Linked DNA regions of Neodiprion lecontei. The protein of the gene in region 2 interacts with the protein of the main gene of each other region in a pairwise test. Links are inferred from orthologs where the notes say so. Each region holds a gene or a part of one and is shown on either strand. Other genes may lie near its edges. The genes, in order: transcription initiation factor TFIID subunit 13, transcription initiation factor TFIID subunit 11 and protein Dr1.

Region 1 (5,715 bases), on a different chromosome or scaffold from region 2:
CTACTGCAGCAGTAATACTAAGAATGCCAATTCCACTGCGAAGCGGCCATCTAAAGGGTTAGGCGATTGTCGCATTACGTTACAATGGATTTGATTAAATCGTAGATGACAACTCTTGAATATCAAGAAAATAAGACGACTACATGAAAATGATTAAGTTGAATTTAGTAACGTTACTATCATGAAGTATTGATGAGAGATTAATATTCTGCAAGTTTAGAATGTTTTTAAATTCTAAGTCAAGTTTGGAATCCCAAGTATTTTTGCTGGATTATAATTTAGTGAATTTTAGAAAATTCTAAAAGTGCAAAGAAATGGGATTTCGTAATAATTCATATTTTCATTGACGTTAAAAACTTCAACTTAGTGAAAAACTGTTTTCTAACCTATTTTTAGGTTATGTTACGTTGGGTTGAGACTTACACCTCTAATTGGTTCGGCCAGTGCCGCAGCATATCGACTTGATATCGCAAAGCTTCGTTTTTGTCCAAAGGCACGGCGTCTGTAGGCAACGGACCTGTTTGTTTTACCAAAGCCATAATTCGGGGAAATTACGACCCGCTGCTGCGGACGCCGGTATCTACACGTGAATCTTCGCGTCGTCTGCTGACTTACAGCATTTTCCGCACTGATTTTCCGAATAATCTTTTCAGTGGTTGCAATCAGTGCGAATCACGTGGTTTTCGTCCAATGGCGAATGAATTCTAAAGAACCCGCTCTCAGTGCAGCCGTTCGAAAAATTACAGTAACGACGTGCGGTATTAATCAGCTCGAAAACGACAATTTGCAGTTGATTTTGGAAAAGTTCAAGGCAAGTTCTTGTAGCAAAATTGTAGTGACCGCAAGAGAGTCCTATGCACCCTTACCATAGTTCTTAGACCAATACAGACGTATACAGTTACGATCATACGTGCAAGATTCTCATATTATTAGTTCTTACACGCCACATTGCCTGTTATTTTATCAACCAAGCTCACATCTATAAAGTATTAAGCAGCGTATATACAATTTTCACACGTCACCGTTATATCTTCCGAAAATCATGTACAGTTCACAATCAGAGAAGCCCTTATTCTCAGAACTAAGGATAGCACCTTTGTTTTAATGACGATGTAATCAATTAATGCTTCACCGTTTGCTTCTCTGAACCAATCGTTCCGTGCTAATACTCCGCCAAGACACTACTTACTAACCAGATGTCTTGCTCTCAAGTAATCAATTAGCATCAACCAATCATTTTAGACCCACGAAAAAACGCGCCTTTTTTCGAACTCTTCCTACGTTGATGCATGTCAGCATGACGTTCTAAATTCCAATTTTCCCGGAATTTTGCACGGAAAATGCGGGAGAAATGTGGCAAAAAAAATAAATGGATGTATGATATGGGAAAAGTCGTGTACTGTATAATATATAACAAGCATTGGTACAACGCCCATACATTGATTATTGGTAAAATCCTGAGCAAGTTACATGAATGTACAAATAAATTCAATCCAGGTATCACAAATAGACACATAAATATATGTACATACATACGGAGATGAATTATTCTTCAACAAGTCAAGAAACTCACTCTGTACTGCATCAAACATATCACTCCGTTAAAATCGAGAATCTGGTTGCAGTCTGGAATTCGATGATCATGTCGCAGTGATATTAAATAGGCTGTGTCAAAGCCCAATTGAAAATTGCAGCAAATTGCAATTGGCAGACCATTCGCATAGTTGATTTGGGCCCATACAAGTATTTTTACACATTTCCTTCTCCTTCTTTAACCAAGGTATTTCTTTTCACCGCACGATGTTATTCTGCCAGTAAAATATAGGTTGTTACTAAGACCAAGCGTTTCTAATTCCGTTTAAAATATTTATTCAAATATGATACTATGTTGATTCATTATCACTTAGTTAGATGACGTAGTAATTATGCAACATCAGTACACATTTCTAATCTTCACCCAAAACGATTGTTAAATGTATTCATTAAAGTACCATGGTATTCAATTATAAATGTACAAAAGATATTCATTCGAATAAATTCAACAGGCAACCTTGTTTGTTTTGGTTTAACATTCTAAAACGCAACTCAATAATTAATCAATTATGATGCAACACTTATTTACAATATATTTGACAACCGACTATTCAAAATAAAAATGAGATGCAAAACACTAATTACATGCTACCTGGTATTAAATTTAATAAAACAGACCAATTTGATCAATTATTGAAACTCAGTGACCTCCATATTTAGATTCAATAGCGCAACCACTTAAACATGACAAAGTCCACCCAATTGCATAGTAATAAAACAAACCAAACAAAAAATAGTAACAATGGTGAGGATGCAATATTTACAGTAACGCCACCCATTCCTGTTAGAAACCATCGCTCGATCAGTTCATAAACAACAAATCATAGCTCTATTTTATACGCAATAAACTAAAACTAACGAGTCTGATTCAAGCCTGATTGGATATTATGCTATGATGAAAACTTGTTTCAGAAAATACTTCAGAATGTGTTTGGATGGCCAATTATTCATATATTGCAACAAGACTTGGATTAGACTCTGCAATAACAAAAACCAAAAAATCATGAATTCACACACCTCTACCAATGATATTTTTGTTTTTACTTGATAATATCAATCAACCGGTTTCCTACTGATTGACAGTACCTGCGTATTTCACTTCGTCAAAGGCTTTCCTTGCTTTTTTAAGCTCCTCATTCATTGTCAGCAGATCCTTAACTCTGGCGTATTTTCTAGAATCTTTCCTTACTGGAAAACAATGTGAAACAAGTTTAAGATAATATTGCACAACAAATTAAAATTCCCGCTCACTCACCAAGGAAGACAATGTCTTCGACTTGCACTCTGCCTGTGCGTCCAATTTCCATTGCCCTGTGGGTCATTTCGGTGATGAATTCGATCACCAAATCTTCCAGAAAGTCAACGCTTTCGGTGTATGGATTTTGGTCATCGCCAAATCCGTACATCATGCAACGGAGCTCCTTTGAAAATAACCGTTTTCTTCCACCCGGAAGCGTTCCTCCGATCGGAATCTCCGTCTCCTCATCTTCGAACTGATCAAATAAAGAATGCCAATCAAGGCTTAAGGTCTCCAGGAGTTAGGTTACTTTACGTTAGGCTAGATTATTTTGCTTAGCTCGTACTCAACCCTCAATTATGAACAAACCATTTCATTATGACCAATTTACCTGCTCGTAATTTTCCTCCGCAGCCATTGACGTATTTCGTTTGACTCACAAGAATCTGGCAATTAAATAACGACTTTTGAACAAGATTAATTGACAGAAAACTCTCGTTGAAAACTCCAACACTTGTCAAACAGAGATCTACTAGTTTCTGTGTCAAAACCCATCTCACGAAGCTTACGTTAGTCAGTGATGCCAAATGTCGAAAACGAAACATTCCTAATAGTGAGACGAAAAAACGCCGACGGCATAGCAGGATTCGTTGCTGAGGGTTGAACTCAGTGGATAATACAGAGCATATTTACCATAACAAAATGCCACTGCAGTGGTCGAAAATAAACGCATCATAAACATTAACAAATGTTATTGCAGTAATACTAAATATTTAAAAAACTTCATATGCTTTAAATTAACGGCAAACAATGGTTAATATTATCTTAATTACTTTGAAATTTATTGCCGTTTTTTTTGTGTCTTACAAAAGTTAATTTGTTATTAAAATAAATACCTAGAATTCCTTAACTTCAGTGATCTGTATGAAGTAACAGTTTCCCAATTTATAATAAGTGAAATCCTTTGAATGATTTTTTTTTTTACCAAATGTTATAGAATCACATTTAACAATGTTGCATGTCGTTTCGTTCAACTCAAACCACTTAAAAATGTTATCGAGAACAACTTGCATCAACGCTATGTCCCTAAGGTAATTGATGGCTTTGTAAGATCGAAAAAGGGCAAATTTAATCACCTTACATGTATCATTCACATCAATCAAGATAAAAGGTGGACCTAGGTCTGCACCCACCCAATTTCGGGAATACTTACGCCAAGATTCTTCGCTATCACTATACAAATGCCATGCCTTCACTTAGAACCCGAAAATTATCAGGGTGACGCGCAAAAGGCGCTGTCAAATTTGAAAACTTGATTACTTGTAAGATATTCGACTTAAGAGCCGAAGGCTGAGCACATCGACAGTGCTTTACTTTGTCATGTACCGTTTGCGAAATCGGCGCGCAAAAGCGCGGCCGATTGATCTGTCAAATAATCTTAAATATGTTGCAAAATTTTGTATAAATCTAATCCGAAATTGTGTTATTCTACGACTATGACAAATGCGCTGTGCATTACTCACTGCTTTCGAGTTGCTAAATAGTACACAGCAAATACGACATGCATTTACCGTTCAGGTACCTCAAAAATTCTTTACAAAATCTGTTCCGTGTCAGAAGGCGCTACTAAATCGAGGATACGAAAAATACAAAAGCGGATCCCTTTCTGCTGACGGTAAGGGATGCGTCGATAAGGCAAAATGTTATCTGTCTAATGAAAGAGCTGTATGTATGAATGAAATAGAGGAAACGTTCTGTTTCTATGAATAATAATAATAACAACAACAACAACAACAACAACAACAACAATAATAATAATACGTGATACAGGCAATCACTGGAGAAAATTGACAGCACTTCAGTTAAAAGAGCGTTCGTTGATTTTTTTAATACGATGTTATTCCATGTATTTTAAATATTCTTCATACACCCTTTACTTATTACGTAATATACATGAAATTCTAAGATTCCCTCCTTGTTTCCGTACAGTAGCATTTCTAGAATCTGTAATCGAATTCGATCAGCTTGGGAAAATCTTTTTTGTTTAATAATATGATTGCGGTTGTAGCGTGTGTTTATGTTTATTCGATTTGACCAACGTCGTTAATTGTAACATTACCGAATTAGTCGGTAATTCGGTTAAAAATAAATCGTGATATTTTAATCAACACGTAAACAAGTTGTAAGACCCACCAACCTTGGTTCGGGTCTTTTTTTTATAAGGTGTATGCTTAGTCTTGCTTGCATAGTGGTAAAACTAATTTCGCGAATACGTTGGATACGCAAATCTATAACGAATCGATGTGCATAAATGCTATCCAGTATTATCTTGTCTGCGAAAAAGAATCGTCAACTCAACCAATTCCACGAATCGAAGACACTGTACTCATAACAGCGATCGAACGAACTATGTGTTCGTATGTGTTCGTATGTAATTGAGCCCTCCTCGATAGCGAATATAAATAATGTTTATCAATCGGCAGAGAAAGAAGGCATTCGTGGTGATATCTGCGCTTAGGTCATTGCCGTAATAGAATTACATCTAGAATAATAGTTACAAAGAAGAGTAACACGTACTGGATTTCGCGATCACAGGAACACAACTAAATATCATTTTGCACCAATAACTAGACTTTTTGGATACGGCGAAAAACTTAAATTGTTTTAAGGGCTGCATGGTAACGTGCGGAACAAAAATTTCACTTCGCGTGTATTTGCCTTGTTTTTATGCGATACATTGCAACTATGTGATATCACTTAATATGTCACGATGATTCGAATATATCACCTGCGCAGAGACGGTCATCAATTTACAGTGTGTACGTAACTGATGTATCTATAATATAATCCGCATCGTTCAGCCCGATCGGATTTATCTGATTCCA
Region 2 (7,608 bases):
ATCGATCAACTAAGAAAGGAATTTGGTGATTCGTTGGAATTGACTAACTTTTCAGAATCAGAAGGTGATTTTCTCGTTGGAGAGTCTCGAACAGATGATAATGAAAGTAAAGAATCCAAAAAAACCAAAAGTCTTCAGGAATATAGCAAGATTAACGTAATAGACTCACGGAATTTGGATGATTTTGAGGATTTCATTTTAATCGAGATTGAAAAAGCGGCAGAGAATCCAACTGAATCTAGTTCTTCATCGCTAAAAAATCTGGACTATGACAAGTCTGAAGTAAAATCTGACATAATTAATCGTGGCGCTGATTGGGACACTGAAAATGACAAAGAAATTGTCGACAAACATCGAGATGAACAATTCGATAAAACGGAAGCAAGATATGACGAGAGAAAGAGGCTTTTACAAGACATCCGAAGAGAGATTAGTGATTCTCAAAATAATAATAATAAAGATAACAGTAATATGCGTAGCCTTAATAATAATGAAATTAAATTGAATACAAAAATAAATTTAGAAACCCAGCACATACCCGATGAGCAACTTCGCTCGAATGACCCTTTGGAGGATTTCAAAAAACCTTTGTGGGCATCTGATGAAGGTAAAATATTGAAAGGATTTTCTGAATTTCAACAAAAAAAAGAAATACGATCGACGGGATATGCTAACCCAGAAAAGAGTAATTATGAGTATCGAGGCAAAGAAGAAGAAGAACAAGAAGAAGAGAAAGGAAGAAATCAAGAACGGAAAAACGGGAAAGTCGTAAGTGAAGAACATGCTGGCTCGCAAATAAAAATTAATGCCGATACCAGAGAAGGTAAAAAACATATCGACGACGAATTATAATGATGGTATTTTGATTATAGGTTTGATAATAAATGTATTGAAATAAAGAAAAGTCCAATTACACTAGTTGATACTTGGTAGTAAAATATAAACCGTGAAAAAAAAAATAATTGACAAATTAAGATTAGCTCAAGACTCAAGTGATGCGAGCTTTAACATTTTTATACCTAAAATTTCTATGCATATAGAAATAAGAATTAAGTTAATCTAACAATGTATGTCATGAGATGGGAAATATGACAATGATTACTTATTACTTGAAATCACTCATGAAGCGTAGCGCGAAACTATATCTTTTTTTTAAATCATCAACTAATGGTGCTTTTTTCGAAAATGGACTCTATGTTAAAAACTTGCAATAATAATGAAATCACGAATAATGCCGTGTATAATTTGGAGACAATGCATGAGGTTTTGTTAACTACATAATGTATATATATTTTCGATAGTTCAATACACATTGATGTGGTTGTGAATATAACGTACGTAGACTGTCAAAGGTATAAAACTGCAGGAAACAGTGAATTTAACCTAAAGATATGCATACTTTGCTTTACTAAGTTCAACAGTTGATGAAAATATGAAACTTTCGGCAGCGAAAAAAAATCTGGTGAATATCATTCACTTATTACTATCCATAATTTGAAGCTTTTAATTTTATCCTAAGTTTCCTATTGCATTGGAAGGTGTTTATTATTCACAATTTGGATAGTATTTTATAATTACGCTTTGTATCGTATAATTATTTAGCTTAAGAAAAACCGGAAAAAAACGAACCATTAAAGGTAAAAGATGAGAAAGAAACTTGAAATTTCATTTTTTATTTGCAAAAATCACATATCTGTAATGCAACTTTAATGATACCAATTATCGGAGAACTATAATTTCTACTTGAATGTTTGATTTTTTTTATTTCAATTTTAACAAACTAATCAGATTTCGTGTACAGAAAACTGAGATATAATTTAAATAGATAATATATGGCGGATTAGTGTACAGATATTGAAATATGTGTGTTAACCAGTTGTAAAGAAATGAAGTATAATAATAGAACTGTGTAAAATATTTCTTAATTCGTGATATAGACGATGCAAGATGTATAATATCTGTTGTATGTATTTGTAAAGTAAATTTTCTAATTACCGGAGGAATACTAACATAATGCTTTATGTTAGCTATTTTACAATGATAATGTATAATATTTGTAATCGAGCGAGTAGATCTATCAACTACTCTTTAATATTATATCGTGGTATAAAAATATATTCCATCATTTCAATGAGCAATGGTTTTTGAAATGTAGTGAACATCTGCAAGCGTACGATGAACAGTTAAGAATATTAAGTTGTAATTTTTAGTTGTTATATACTTACGTGCTTACTGCTGTCAGAGAATGCATATAACTTATAAGTGTAAATAAGATCCTAATATGAATATCAGCTTTTTACTTATAAATATATTGTAATTCTGAATGACTCTTTCTTAAATACTGTTAAATGAAAATAAGATAATTATAATACCATATAACTAGTAATTATCTGCCAAAAATAACATAAGGATATTTAAGATTTTAAGAGAAGTAAAGTTACTACAAATTTTTATAGTATGATTAACTCTTTGTACATATTAGAATAACAAAATACAGAAGATTGTATCATAGTATACTATAAATCAATTTCAGTAAAGATATTTACGGAATGAGGTTTTTGGTAACGGGGGTGACGCATGACTATTATTGATAATTGGAAATAAAATCGTTATAAATCATGCTTTTTTGTGCACGTGTCGAGATATACTTTTGAAAAAATTTCATCTTTCGAAAAATACCCTAGTACGAATTCATTTAGTCATGGTTTTTTGGTATTTCTCATAGTTGAAATACAACAGGTATCAGGATTTTAGTGATATATCTTTTTATTCATTATATGTAACAATAAGAGAAAATATAATTCTTTCTACATTTGTGGGTCAAGAGAACAATGTTACAAGAATAGAATTCTCTTTGGGAAACATACATTGAAAGCTTTCAGATTAGACTATAACTCTCGGATGAAAAAATTTATACTGCCAGAGAAGAGAAGAGATTTCAAATGTATTTTACAAGTAACGTTAAAATTATATTGTATAGCTAGATCTAAAATCATAACAGAATTTCATTTATTGCCTCTGTTATGATTTAATAAATTAACTCTAATGACCTTTTACAGGTTTAAAATTAGACGCTAATGCATAAACATAATATTATTACAATAGATATTGATTGGCATTTCGCATTTTCTAACATTGGCTGTAGCTTTTGGAAGTCTTCTGGACGTTTTTCCAGCTATTAGCCTTTTTTGTTATAACAAAAGCGTTTGTACTACGTGCTGCACTTTAATAACATTTTTCTTGACCATTTGCAAAAAAGCTCATGCTTTCCTCAAAGTCTGAAAAATGCCTTTTGTGCTCTACCGTTTGGTATTTGTCCCTGAAGTCGTAATCTGCGTACCGCTTCCCTCAAATGTTTTGGTTGCAATGGGCCCGTTTCTTCGTGAGTTTCCATGACATCCAAAGCTTTAAACAGTTGCATATTTGTTACATTATTTCAGCTTCTGCTCTCTATATTCTTTACAGTGAAAGAGTTACTATGGATTTTACAATATCTTTTTCTCCAATAAAAATATTCGTCAATTTTTTGAGCCATCGAAATTTGCATACATCGGAGTTTGTAATTATCTTGTGCAAGAGATATAGTTTTTCATATCGTACCTTCCTCAACAATTTCGCCGACAAACACCTTGGCTATACCTGACATGGCTATCACGACATTTTGAGATACCGAGCAGCCCGTAATTGTCTGCATAATCTGAAAAGAATCGAAAACAACAAAATGGAAGAGCCGTCTGTTCATTTTCTTTGGCAATAAGATATTAGGTATTGACCTTGTGATTGTTGGTCGGAGTAAATTTATGCAATCAATATTGAGTAGATATTTGAAAAAAAAACGCGAGTAAAATATTAGTTCGTGAAGGTTATCTTTCAAGAAGCTTACATGCATTTTTATTTAACAAGGAGTTTCTTCAAGGAATTTACACTTCGAATAATTTTGAGAATGCAGAACTAACTAAAAGCTTTGATAAAATCTGATTACTCTTTTGATTGCTGCTTTGGGAAATGCAGCTCTTCTGTACATCTCGTATCTGTCCAATTGATCTTCCGTGAAATTTGATACCAAAACTCTAGAATAAAAATGGTGAAAGTAATTTTGTACGTATTGTCAAATGCGTCGCTTCACAAATAGAAGCCAAAAAGGTGAATATTTAACATACTGCATTTTCTCCCGCTCTTCTTCCTCCAGTTCCTTTTTACTCTTTTCTCTACTTTCTCTTCTTCCATCTATTTTTGTCGGTACCGAATGTGGGAGCATTATATCATTTCCAAAAATGTCTTCATGCTCATCTTGACTCTCTGGATCATTCTTCAAGTCCATATGGTCACTTGATAGCATTCCGCTACTAGTTTGTTGGGGACTTGACTCTTCTGTGTCTGATTGAGAATTCTGACTTGAAGTGTCAGGTTCATTCTTTAAAATTAAAACACCAAATTATTCAAAACAATTTGACGAGAACCGCATGAGAAATCAGTCTCAATTTAAGTATGACAAAAAGATTGGAGATCATCAGTTTTGCTTATATTTTTGTGCAAATTCGAGTTCTCGATTTTCATAATTGCAATATAAGTATAAAAATGTTCTAAATTCTCCTCCGTATTAGCGATATCGACTGCAAAAGTACGAAGCTGAAAATTTCAATATATTTACTCCTTTCACCTTCAAAGGAACGTCGTCAATATCCATGCCATCGCTGTCTCTGGTTCCGGAGGGTCTAGACGGACTGTCCTTATCTTCAATATCGACAAGCTCGCTTTCGTTCCCAGAATCATCTTTACCAAAAATATTATCCATTCTCTGAAGCAATAAAGTTCATAAAAATAAAAGGCCAAAATGTTCTATCAAATACAAAATTGCATAAATTTTAAAAATCGGTGAAATTTTGTACACATGCATATAGGTTAGAAACAGCCGAACACCATAATCGGTGTAATTATGAAATAAAATCTGTCCAAAGGAGGGCTGAAGAAGTAACGAAACTCACGATGTTTTTAACAGCAACAGTCCGGTCAGCTGACGCGTCCTAAACCCTGAAGATAATTTGATTTGAACCGCTTTTGTAGCGCGATATTGACTGATTTGACAGAAGGAGAGTGTTTACTGCACGAATGACGTCACGACCTGCGTGACCTGCCTTTGCGACGATTTATCTTTTTCAAAATTACTACACCGAGGTTATCAAAAGTAGCGGCAAATATCGACAACCGACGACGGAGAATCCCCATCAATAAATCGTCGTCACGATCGTAATCGTTGGGACCGTAAATTGGCGACAATGATGAAACGTAAATACGCTGGGTAAGGTTCGCCTCGTTAGTTCCGAAGTTGCCCGCGCGGCAGCAGCACAAACCATCGAAACAATCGCGAGAGAAATGTTGCGGCGGTGTCGCGACGCCGCATTTGTCAATACTCGATTGTTTTAACAATTTTCTCGTACTTTCGGTCGCGTTTCGCGTAAAAATTTCTACGCCGTGGTTACCCAATCAGGGTTATTAACAGCCGAGTGATTTAACGGCGAAAGGGGTCGAGTACATCGCCGTGTAAACGGGGTAAATATACCCACCTACCGCTTGTGCACACATCGGCAAAGTTGAATTTTAGACGGCTCTCGGACATTTGCCAAGTGTTGCGGCTTTGAGAAGGAGGAGGAAGGAGGAGGAAAAGGTGCAGGTGGATATACACAATACAAACACAGTACAGTGTCTCAGTTACCTCTCCCTCTTGCATATTTATTTGGATTTCGTATTAACGAGGGAATCGAACGGAAATCTTCGTTCTTCGCCAACCAAGCATTCAACCCTCGTTAATGTCGGCCAACTCTTCGTGTTGATGTGTTAAAATGTGAGTATCTCTTTCCTCCTCATCGATACGTAATATAATATTTATGGACTCACGTTTACACTAGTTGGAAAAAAAAACATCTTCTGTATAATAACCAACGCGCTTTAAAAATGGCACAGTTCCATATTGGAACCGTCAAACTGGTCATGTTATATTGCTGAAAAGTCGGAGAGAGCCTGCAGCGGGTTTTGTTCTTTGATGTTTGTGCGTAAAAAACCGGTTTACCAATCTTTTCTTTTTATTCTTATTCTCATTCCTTTTCTGCTATCGAAAATGTAACAGATCGCGTACCGAGAGTTCGACAACGCATTTTGATTAGCAGCAGCTTGGTTGTTTCGCGTTTTATTACTCAGCACGGTTAATTGTTTGCCATTTACCGCGTTGCGATTCATCTCGTTATTCTCAATCGCGACTCCGCAATCTCTGCAATAATAGCGTTACGTATACGTCATTTTTTATACAGACAGACGCGCGTACAAAACTTGATTGTCGTTTTTTCGCACATGGCCAGATAGATACCATTGTCGCAAAAAATAATGAGGCAATTTATAGGCGTGTTTTTAGGTAAACACGTATGCACACTGTCATTTTTCGCCTGTTACTGTATACAATGCACACATGTAATACCCACCTATACCATTTTCGAAACTCGGGTCTTTATTCTGATCGTAGACGCTCAGGTACACGAAGACTAGAATTTAAAGTACCTATGCATACGTAGGTAAGTCAAACTAGACGCCTGCACGAATGAGGAGTCGAATGTAAATGCGGGTTTGACGTACGTACGTAGATACGTACATAAGTCTGTATCCTGTGTATGTAATTACATTCACAATTTTTTCAAACGACGTCGAAAATTCTGTCTTGGCCTGTCAATTTTCAGTATACAATATCCCTGTTTTTGATATCTTGGAAATAAAAGAGAGAAGGTGAAGTTATTATTGTATACGAGATCGAGTTTTCGACCTTTTTCCTTTCCGCCTATGCGGTCGAAATATCAGACACGTAAGTTTTATCTTACCACATCCGATACACTTTCCTTAATTCTTTCCCTAACATCTGCTAAACGAATATCGATGCCTCCCGTTTCAAAGCTTCTCCAACTTTCCGAGAGTGAATAGAGACTCAAGTTTGTTAAATTTTCCGATTGAAGAATCTTCCCGCTCGGAGAAAATATACGCTCGGTTTACACTAATTCGTTTTGTTAATCTAATCATCACACAGTCGATGTACCGAAATTCCCAATTGAAAAAAAATTTCGATTTTCAGCGACGCGTTTCAGCGCCGATAATAAAAAGCTAGCTGCATCGAAATTACAAACGAAACCTCGGTTTATCAGTTTCATAACAACTCCACGCATCGTCATCATAGTCATCATCATTACTATCATCATCGGTGTGTCGTTACTGCTACAATACGGTTCATATAATTTACGACCAAAAACTCTTCGACTCCTCTTCCATTTAAGGTAATTTTAGTTGTGTACGTGCGTTTAGACCAGTGCATTAGAGTCGTAGGCGCCGCAGTATATATGTATACGGGTCAATGCCCTTGAAGCTCGTGCAAAAACTCGTCCCTGCACTCCTCGCATTGTCCGACGGACAGAACTTGTGGGATATTTTTCCTGTAAAACATTATTTGCGAAGATACGAAGCAAAGCATGGTGTATTTATCGTCTAGTTGTTTTTTTTTTTTTTCTAGTTCTCAAATTGAAAATGATTTTCTAATTAAACGATCAAATAACATTTATTTCGCGTAGTAATTGC
Region 3 (5,879 bases), about 22 Mb from region 2:
TTCGTGTAATATTATTGTTATTGATCAGACGAGAATTCAATACAAGCATTGCTTGTCTTGATGCAATTCATTATATTGATTGATTACTTTATTTAATCATGATAGTTTTAATCTGCGCCTTGGTTTATGAATAACTTCCGTTTTTCAGCTTCCTAGCAGTGGAAGAAATGCGCCGCGGAGCGGCTCCAAGCCATGCTGCTGAGACAGCAGTTCGTCGCATAGCTCAGCATTATCCAAAATTCGTTGGTGGAGTTATTGCTCTTAATAAGGATGGCGCGTACGGAGCCGCCTGCAATGGGATGGAAAAATTTCCATTTTACGCGAGTAATCCTCTTCTCGGTGAACCCACTTTGAATCACGTTCGATGTATTGAGATCTGATTCACTCATGCTCCATGCCTATATTAGCCTTGCAATACTGCTTTTTCTACGGACAAAAAGAAAAATATTGCGATGCATGCAAATAATAGAATGTCACTGAATTCGAATCTTTTGCGATAAATTACTGATTTTCTAATATTCAAAGTGTTTCTATGCAAAGGTTTTTAATATAATTTTCCTAATAACAAGTACTGTAAGAATTTGATAATAATAAAGTTGGTGAACAAATGGCAACTTTTTGTTTCTTGATAAGTATAATGAAATGAGCGAAGGTAGAACAACCGGATTTTACTTGTGAGACGGAAACTAAGGCTCAATCGGAGCTAATTTATCAGCACAATTACCAGAAAGTTGTCATGAACTAAAAAATGCAAAAAAAAGGTAACTGTTTTGATTTTTGCAAAAATTGTGACTGATTCTAGTCAATACTAGACCTACTTATTGTATGTATACGTGTATGTATCTCAATTCTCAGGACATCAGATGCTGTAGTTGCAGGCAAAAAATGTAGTCGTATTTATTTTTATCTTTTAACGATCGGGCTAACGATTTCTCGACCACCCCATGCCTGAATTTTATATTTTTTGCGCACCTTAATTGTATCACCATCACTGATCTCTATGTAGACTGGATAGTGGACTCTTTCTCGTGCTTTCTACGTGCTACAGAGTGGAACCATCAGAAGGCATGTAAGCTGCGGGGGGAGGGGGGGGGGGGGGGGGTCAGAGGAAAGGGCAAGCTTGGGGTTTTTGATTAACCAATAAACGCGATTTTTTTTAAAAAGGCCTGTATTTCGGGTTAAAAAATGCCGATAAATAGAATTCCAATAAGAAAAAGGATATTGGCTACGGACGATGGAAATATAATTTCTGACTTTTGAGCTTTATTTATGTATCTCTTTAGCATTAATAGAATTCATTTATTTTAGTAATATATAGGTAGTAAATTTATTAGTATCAGTGATCAAACACATTATAAAACCTTGGAAAGTAAAAAATAAATCGGCACAATAAAATTCGTTACTTACAAATAGGCGACTTGAAACATTAGTAACAATTTGAAGCAAGCGCAAAAGTGAACCTGTGATTAGTTCGCTTGTGACTTGAACTTTTCCCACCGTACAAGTACTTCACCATTTTTATTAATTCACTAACTTTTTTCTTAGTATTAGGCACTAGGCTTTACCGTTTACCGCACTTTTGTTTTATTTTACCGTCGCCATCGAACAATATTCGCGTGAAGCTGGTTAGTTTTAGGTTTGAATTACCCGCTTCGAAACGGACCCGTCAAAATTGCAAATGGCGCTGATCAATTGGGTCCACTGAGGGCACCCAAGCCCCATATAACGCAGCGTGACTGTCTTGAAGCCTGTGTTTCTCAATTTGTGCACCAAAGATCGGAGCGCTGCAATCTCCGAGGCCGGTGTATGCGTACTAAGTAGGCCTCTCCCTCACTAGCGCTAGCGGCGAAAATTCACAACATCGGCTTCATTTTCGAGCACGGTTTTACAACCGGAGTGCCCAGACCTGTTATAAGGCCGTGATATGGTATAAAGACTTATAACCCTGGGTTTTTTTTCGTAACAGTTTGCAGGGTCTGGCCGGGTTTGGGGGTATTAGCAGTTTCGCGTATTACGAACCAAGTAGCTGACCACGTCGGCAAAAGGTGTTCTTCATAACCAATAACTATCGCGGGCAAAACGTTAGAAACGTGCCGTTGTCATCGTGAAACTGAAAATAGTTCTAATCTACCTCAGAATCTTTTAACAGTTTTGAATTAACCTCTTGTGTGATGCCAACTAGCGGAACGTTTCCATTGGTTTGTCCGAAAAGCTGCGCTGTAGCATGCGCTGTAGGACACCTGACTCCTTACACAAACTGTGGTTGTTTGGCGTTTAAAAATCCGAATTGCTTAATTGGTTTCATTTACAATCTCAGAACATAATCCGAATCCAATTGATATAAACTTTACACCGTACTTAATAACTTGCGAAAACTAATGATGGCGCTGTATTTTTATTTATGATGTCCCAGGATGTATTATCGGTGAATTTGTGTTGAGCAACCGTGGTATGATAACCTCCAGATCTACGTAACTAGTCATATGTGCGTGTTTCATAAATAAAGTATCCCATGCTAAATCATCAATAACGTTCCACATTCACTTAATTAGTGGTTTTTTTTTTTCACCAAACAAGAAAATATATTCGCTTAACTACTGACATATTATTACATCGGAATGTTATTTTTTTCATCGTGATATGAAGGGAATTCATTTGAACAGATTAAATAAGCTTTCGATTTTTATAATGACCACCTCTCGAAATTCGTTGATTACTTTTTGCGTTTTATTCGAGCAGTTACGTTTCATTTCATTTTTAACATTCAAGCACTTACATTTGATGTGTTTTTTTTCTACTTTCTCCTTCACTACCAGCAATGACTGTAATCGTTGAAACGTTGTAACAGCTTGCAGATGATATTTTGGGTAAAAATTTATTGAAGGTTAAATGCTGGTCATTCATTTATTGGTTCAATTTATTGTAAAACAAATTTGTTGCTTTTGTTATTTATTCGCCTGGTATGCTTAAACAACAAAGATTAGAGAGAAATAATTACAACAAAAGTGAGAGGCAACTTGATTTGTTAGCAATATATTTAGACATTTCTTACATTTCTTTTCCTGTTCATAGTTCTACAAACCATAGAGTTCCTTTAACTGACGAGCTGCAAATCTAATTTCATTTGCAATAGTTCAATCGATCATTTACTTGTTACTTCCGCATTCATTTTACTCAGAAACTACAAATTAAAAAAAGTGTACAAGTTTGATTTTTATTGATTCTTGATTGTTCGATTAATTCAGTCGACTGTCCGCATCTGATGTATTGTTTCATTGTGTCGAAATGATGTGAACTCTACTCCTGTTCAGTGAAGAAGAATATTTATCACCACTATCCTGTAGCATCATAACAATTCTTGTAATCTAGTTGACAAAGTAATGTGGCCAAAAGATTTTAATCCCACTTGTTACCTAAAGGTTTAGCTGTTATCGACTTTGTATATTTGCAATGTAAGCAGTGCCGTCAAATGAATACATATTATTTACATCTAAAATGACTCTTATTTTAGATTACAAGACGAGAAACGATACATTTCTGAAAACATTTCTTTATTGTCGGTGTTCATCTCACTTGTCGAATAAAGGTATATTGTTTCTTGGCACACACTTTCAAAGCATTTCTTTAATAGGTTTGCTAAAGTTATTGAACGTTGTTTGATCCTCGATTTTCAGGGTTCCAATGGCCTCGGCAACAGTGACTCCAGCTGAAGACGATGAGCTAACTTTACCTCGAGCGTCGATAAATAAAATGATAAAAGAAATCCTACCCCATATACGAGTAGCAAACGAGTCGAGGGAGTTAATATTGAACTGCTGTACTGAGTTCATACATTTATTATCCTCTGAAGCGAACGATATCTGCAATCAACAGCAGAAGAAAACAATTAATGCTGAGCATATATTACAAGCATTGGAAAAGTTGGGGTTTGGAGATTATAGCGCCGAAGCTGAAGCTGTATTGCGAGATTGTAAGGCTGTGGCAGCGAAGCGAAGACGCCAAAGTACAAGGCTCGAAAATCTTGGAATTCCAGAAGAGGAACTTCTTCGACAACAACAGGAGCTCTTCGCAAAAGCACGCGAGGAACAAGCCGTTGCTGAACAACAGCAGTGGCAACAGTTGCAAGCCGTTGCCCAAATGGCTTCTATGCAACAGCCGGATAGTGAGCAGGAAGATTACTCCTAAATTATTACCATTAAAATAGACAATGCAAGTCTAATGAGTAAATTGATTGGTTCCTCTACTTATGAATCGATTTTTCCAATAAAAGTGAACAGCGTAAATGAGAAATTCACTTCTTATTGTCTTAACGGTTTATCTTTGATGATTTATCTATGTAAATTGCATAAAAAAAAAAAGAGAAGAAATGAAGAAGAAAATAATTTCGAGTATCCTAGAATACGTTACCACCATTATTTATGAATAAATGTGAATGATGTGATAGAATAAAGAAGTGAACCTAATTATACCTATTTTCTTTGGATAATTTAATCGAACCACACCTTTGAAGTGTTTTTTTTTTTTGTAAACGTTTCTATTGAATATTTATGAAATTTAAAATTTTTTGTTCCTACCTTTGTGAAAGATTACATTCATTCCACTTTGCCAAATTGTTGTTTTCACGGCATTAATCTCCCATATTCAGAAAACAAATGACTTTTCTTTATCGTATCCATAATTTTGGAAGCATAATGGTACCTGTAATTAGTAAATAAAGATATGAGATCAATGTCTATTCTTCACCTTCAGTGTCTGCTATATAACTCGGAGTATCTCAAATTAGTACTAACCAATTTTTTTCAGTCAATACAGTTGAAGTCATGTTGTTACGTGATATACCATGTATTCTCATACGCAATTTTTCTGATATTTTTTCTGCACTATCATGAACGATTGTCTCATCTGAAACAATTCATTAAGTAAAATCACTTCGCCGATTCAAAGTTATTGAAGTCAGGAAACTGTGTACAACACTCATACAAAATGTAGATACGAGTCGTTTCTGCTTTCATCTGAATTGGATTTTTACCTTCGTTTGTAATTTCTGGTATAACGAATAAATTTAGTTGTCCATCAACGACGGATGAAGCCATATTTAATCCACTGTGTGTCAGCAGTCTAGAGTTTATAAATACTTTGTTATAAAAGTCCTGGAAATTGAGAACTAAGGTTTATTATGTGTGAGAAATGTTTTTGGAAATGATATTTTTCTGATAAGATATAATCCTCTAGTTCCTGGAAATACAAGCTCTAATTTGAGAGGTTTTATCTAAAAAAAAATCCGTTACTACTTGTTACTAAATCTATCTTACTTTCATCATGTTCATAGAATCAGGCATGAAATCCTGTAACTCAGCTTTATTGTGCAGAAAGAGGATGTGTGGATAATATTCGACAAAGTCTTGATCCATAGCAGACGCCGAAGAAGGTTTCAGCATTTCGGCAGTTTGAATGAATCTGAAGTATAGCGAACAAAGCAAACCAGTAAAATAAAGTACTTAATTAATTTGGATCAGATAAATTCAGCTGTTAGAAAGTAGATACCTGATTAAATTGGGATCTACAAACCAGTCCTGAATGAATATTACAACGTGACAAACAGACAGCAGAAACGATGTTAACTGTAAGGATTGCAGTTCCACGTTATTTTCTATGTTTGCAAAATCGTTGTTATTTTTCTTTTGCTCGTATAATCCAGAGTGATCAATTGCCACCCCAGATAATATAGGCTGAGTGTCCAAGTAGATAACTCGGTTTTTAGTCACATAGAAATCTACGCCAGACGTACAATTCGAGCCACTTTCGTGATGCGACAACGTTTGTGTTGGAAAAACATCAGACCTGAAAATAAGTAGTACGTGATTAATCAGTGAGAAGCA

What was found.
Region 1: the proteins of transcription initiation factor TFIID subunit 11 (region 2) and transcription initiation factor TFIID subunit 13 interact in a two-hybrid assay, tested with the Drosophila melanogaster proteins (2 studies listed by BioGRID). The link is inferred for Neodiprion lecontei from reciprocal best matches to the Drosophila melanogaster genes Taf11 and Taf13.
Region 3: the proteins of transcription initiation factor TFIID subunit 11 (region 2) and protein Dr1 interact in binary tests that used the Drosophila melanogaster proteins (3 or more experiments, as listed by UniProt). The link is inferred for Neodiprion lecontei from reciprocal best matches to the Drosophila melanogaster genes Taf11 and NC2beta.

Annotation. Positions count from the first base shown.
Region 1 is NC_060263.1:20,309,886-20,315,600, reverse strand, and holds transcription initiation factor TFIID subunit 13, read right to left. Parts: upstream 3,392-5,715; 5' UTR 3,249-3,391; coding exon 3,222-3,248; intron 3,087-3,221; coding exon 2,849-3,086; intron 2,782-2,848; coding exon 2,663-2,781; 3' UTR 1,809-2,662; coding exon of another isoform or gene 1,804-1,808; 3' UTR 1,425-1,803; downstream 1-1,424. Other genes in the region: uncharacterized protein LOC107221582, read right to left, coding at 1-50, 424-539.
Region 2 is NC_060261.1:39,664,921-39,672,528, forward strand, and holds transcription initiation factor TFIID subunit 11, read right to left. Parts: upstream 5,377-7,608; 5' UTR 4,982-5,376; intron 4,799-4,981; exon of another isoform or gene 4,797-4,798; 5' UTR 4,796-4,796; coding exon 4,652-4,795; intron 4,415-4,651; coding exon 4,161-4,414; intron 4,071-4,160; coding exon 3,983-4,070; intron 3,698-3,982; coding exon 3,601-3,697; intron 3,406-3,600; coding exon 3,272-3,405; 3' UTR 1,191-3,271; downstream 1-1,190. Other genes in the region: ER degradation-enhancing alpha-mannosidase-like protein 3, read left to right, coding at 1-852. UniProt on the Drosophila melanogaster protein: The TFIID basal transcription factor complex plays a major role in the initiation of RNA polymerase II (Pol II)-dependent transcription.
Region 3 is NC_060261.1:17,283,222-17,289,100, reverse strand, and holds protein Dr1, read left to right. Parts: upstream 1-2,168; 5' UTR 2,169-2,483; coding exon 2,484-2,485; intron 2,486-3,534; exon of another isoform or gene 3,535-3,674; coding exon 3,675-4,185; 3' UTR 4,186-4,472; downstream 4,473-5,879. Other genes in the region: N(4)-(Beta-N-acetylglucosaminyl)-L-asparaginase, read left to right, coding at 149-380; protein SMG9, read right to left, coding at 4,620-4,698, 4,791-4,902, 5,030-5,150, 5,313-5,457, 5,545-5,841. UniProt on the Drosophila melanogaster protein: Bifunctional basic transcription factor. Activates transcription of DPE (Downstream Promoter Element) containing promoters while repressing transcription of promoters which contain TATA elements.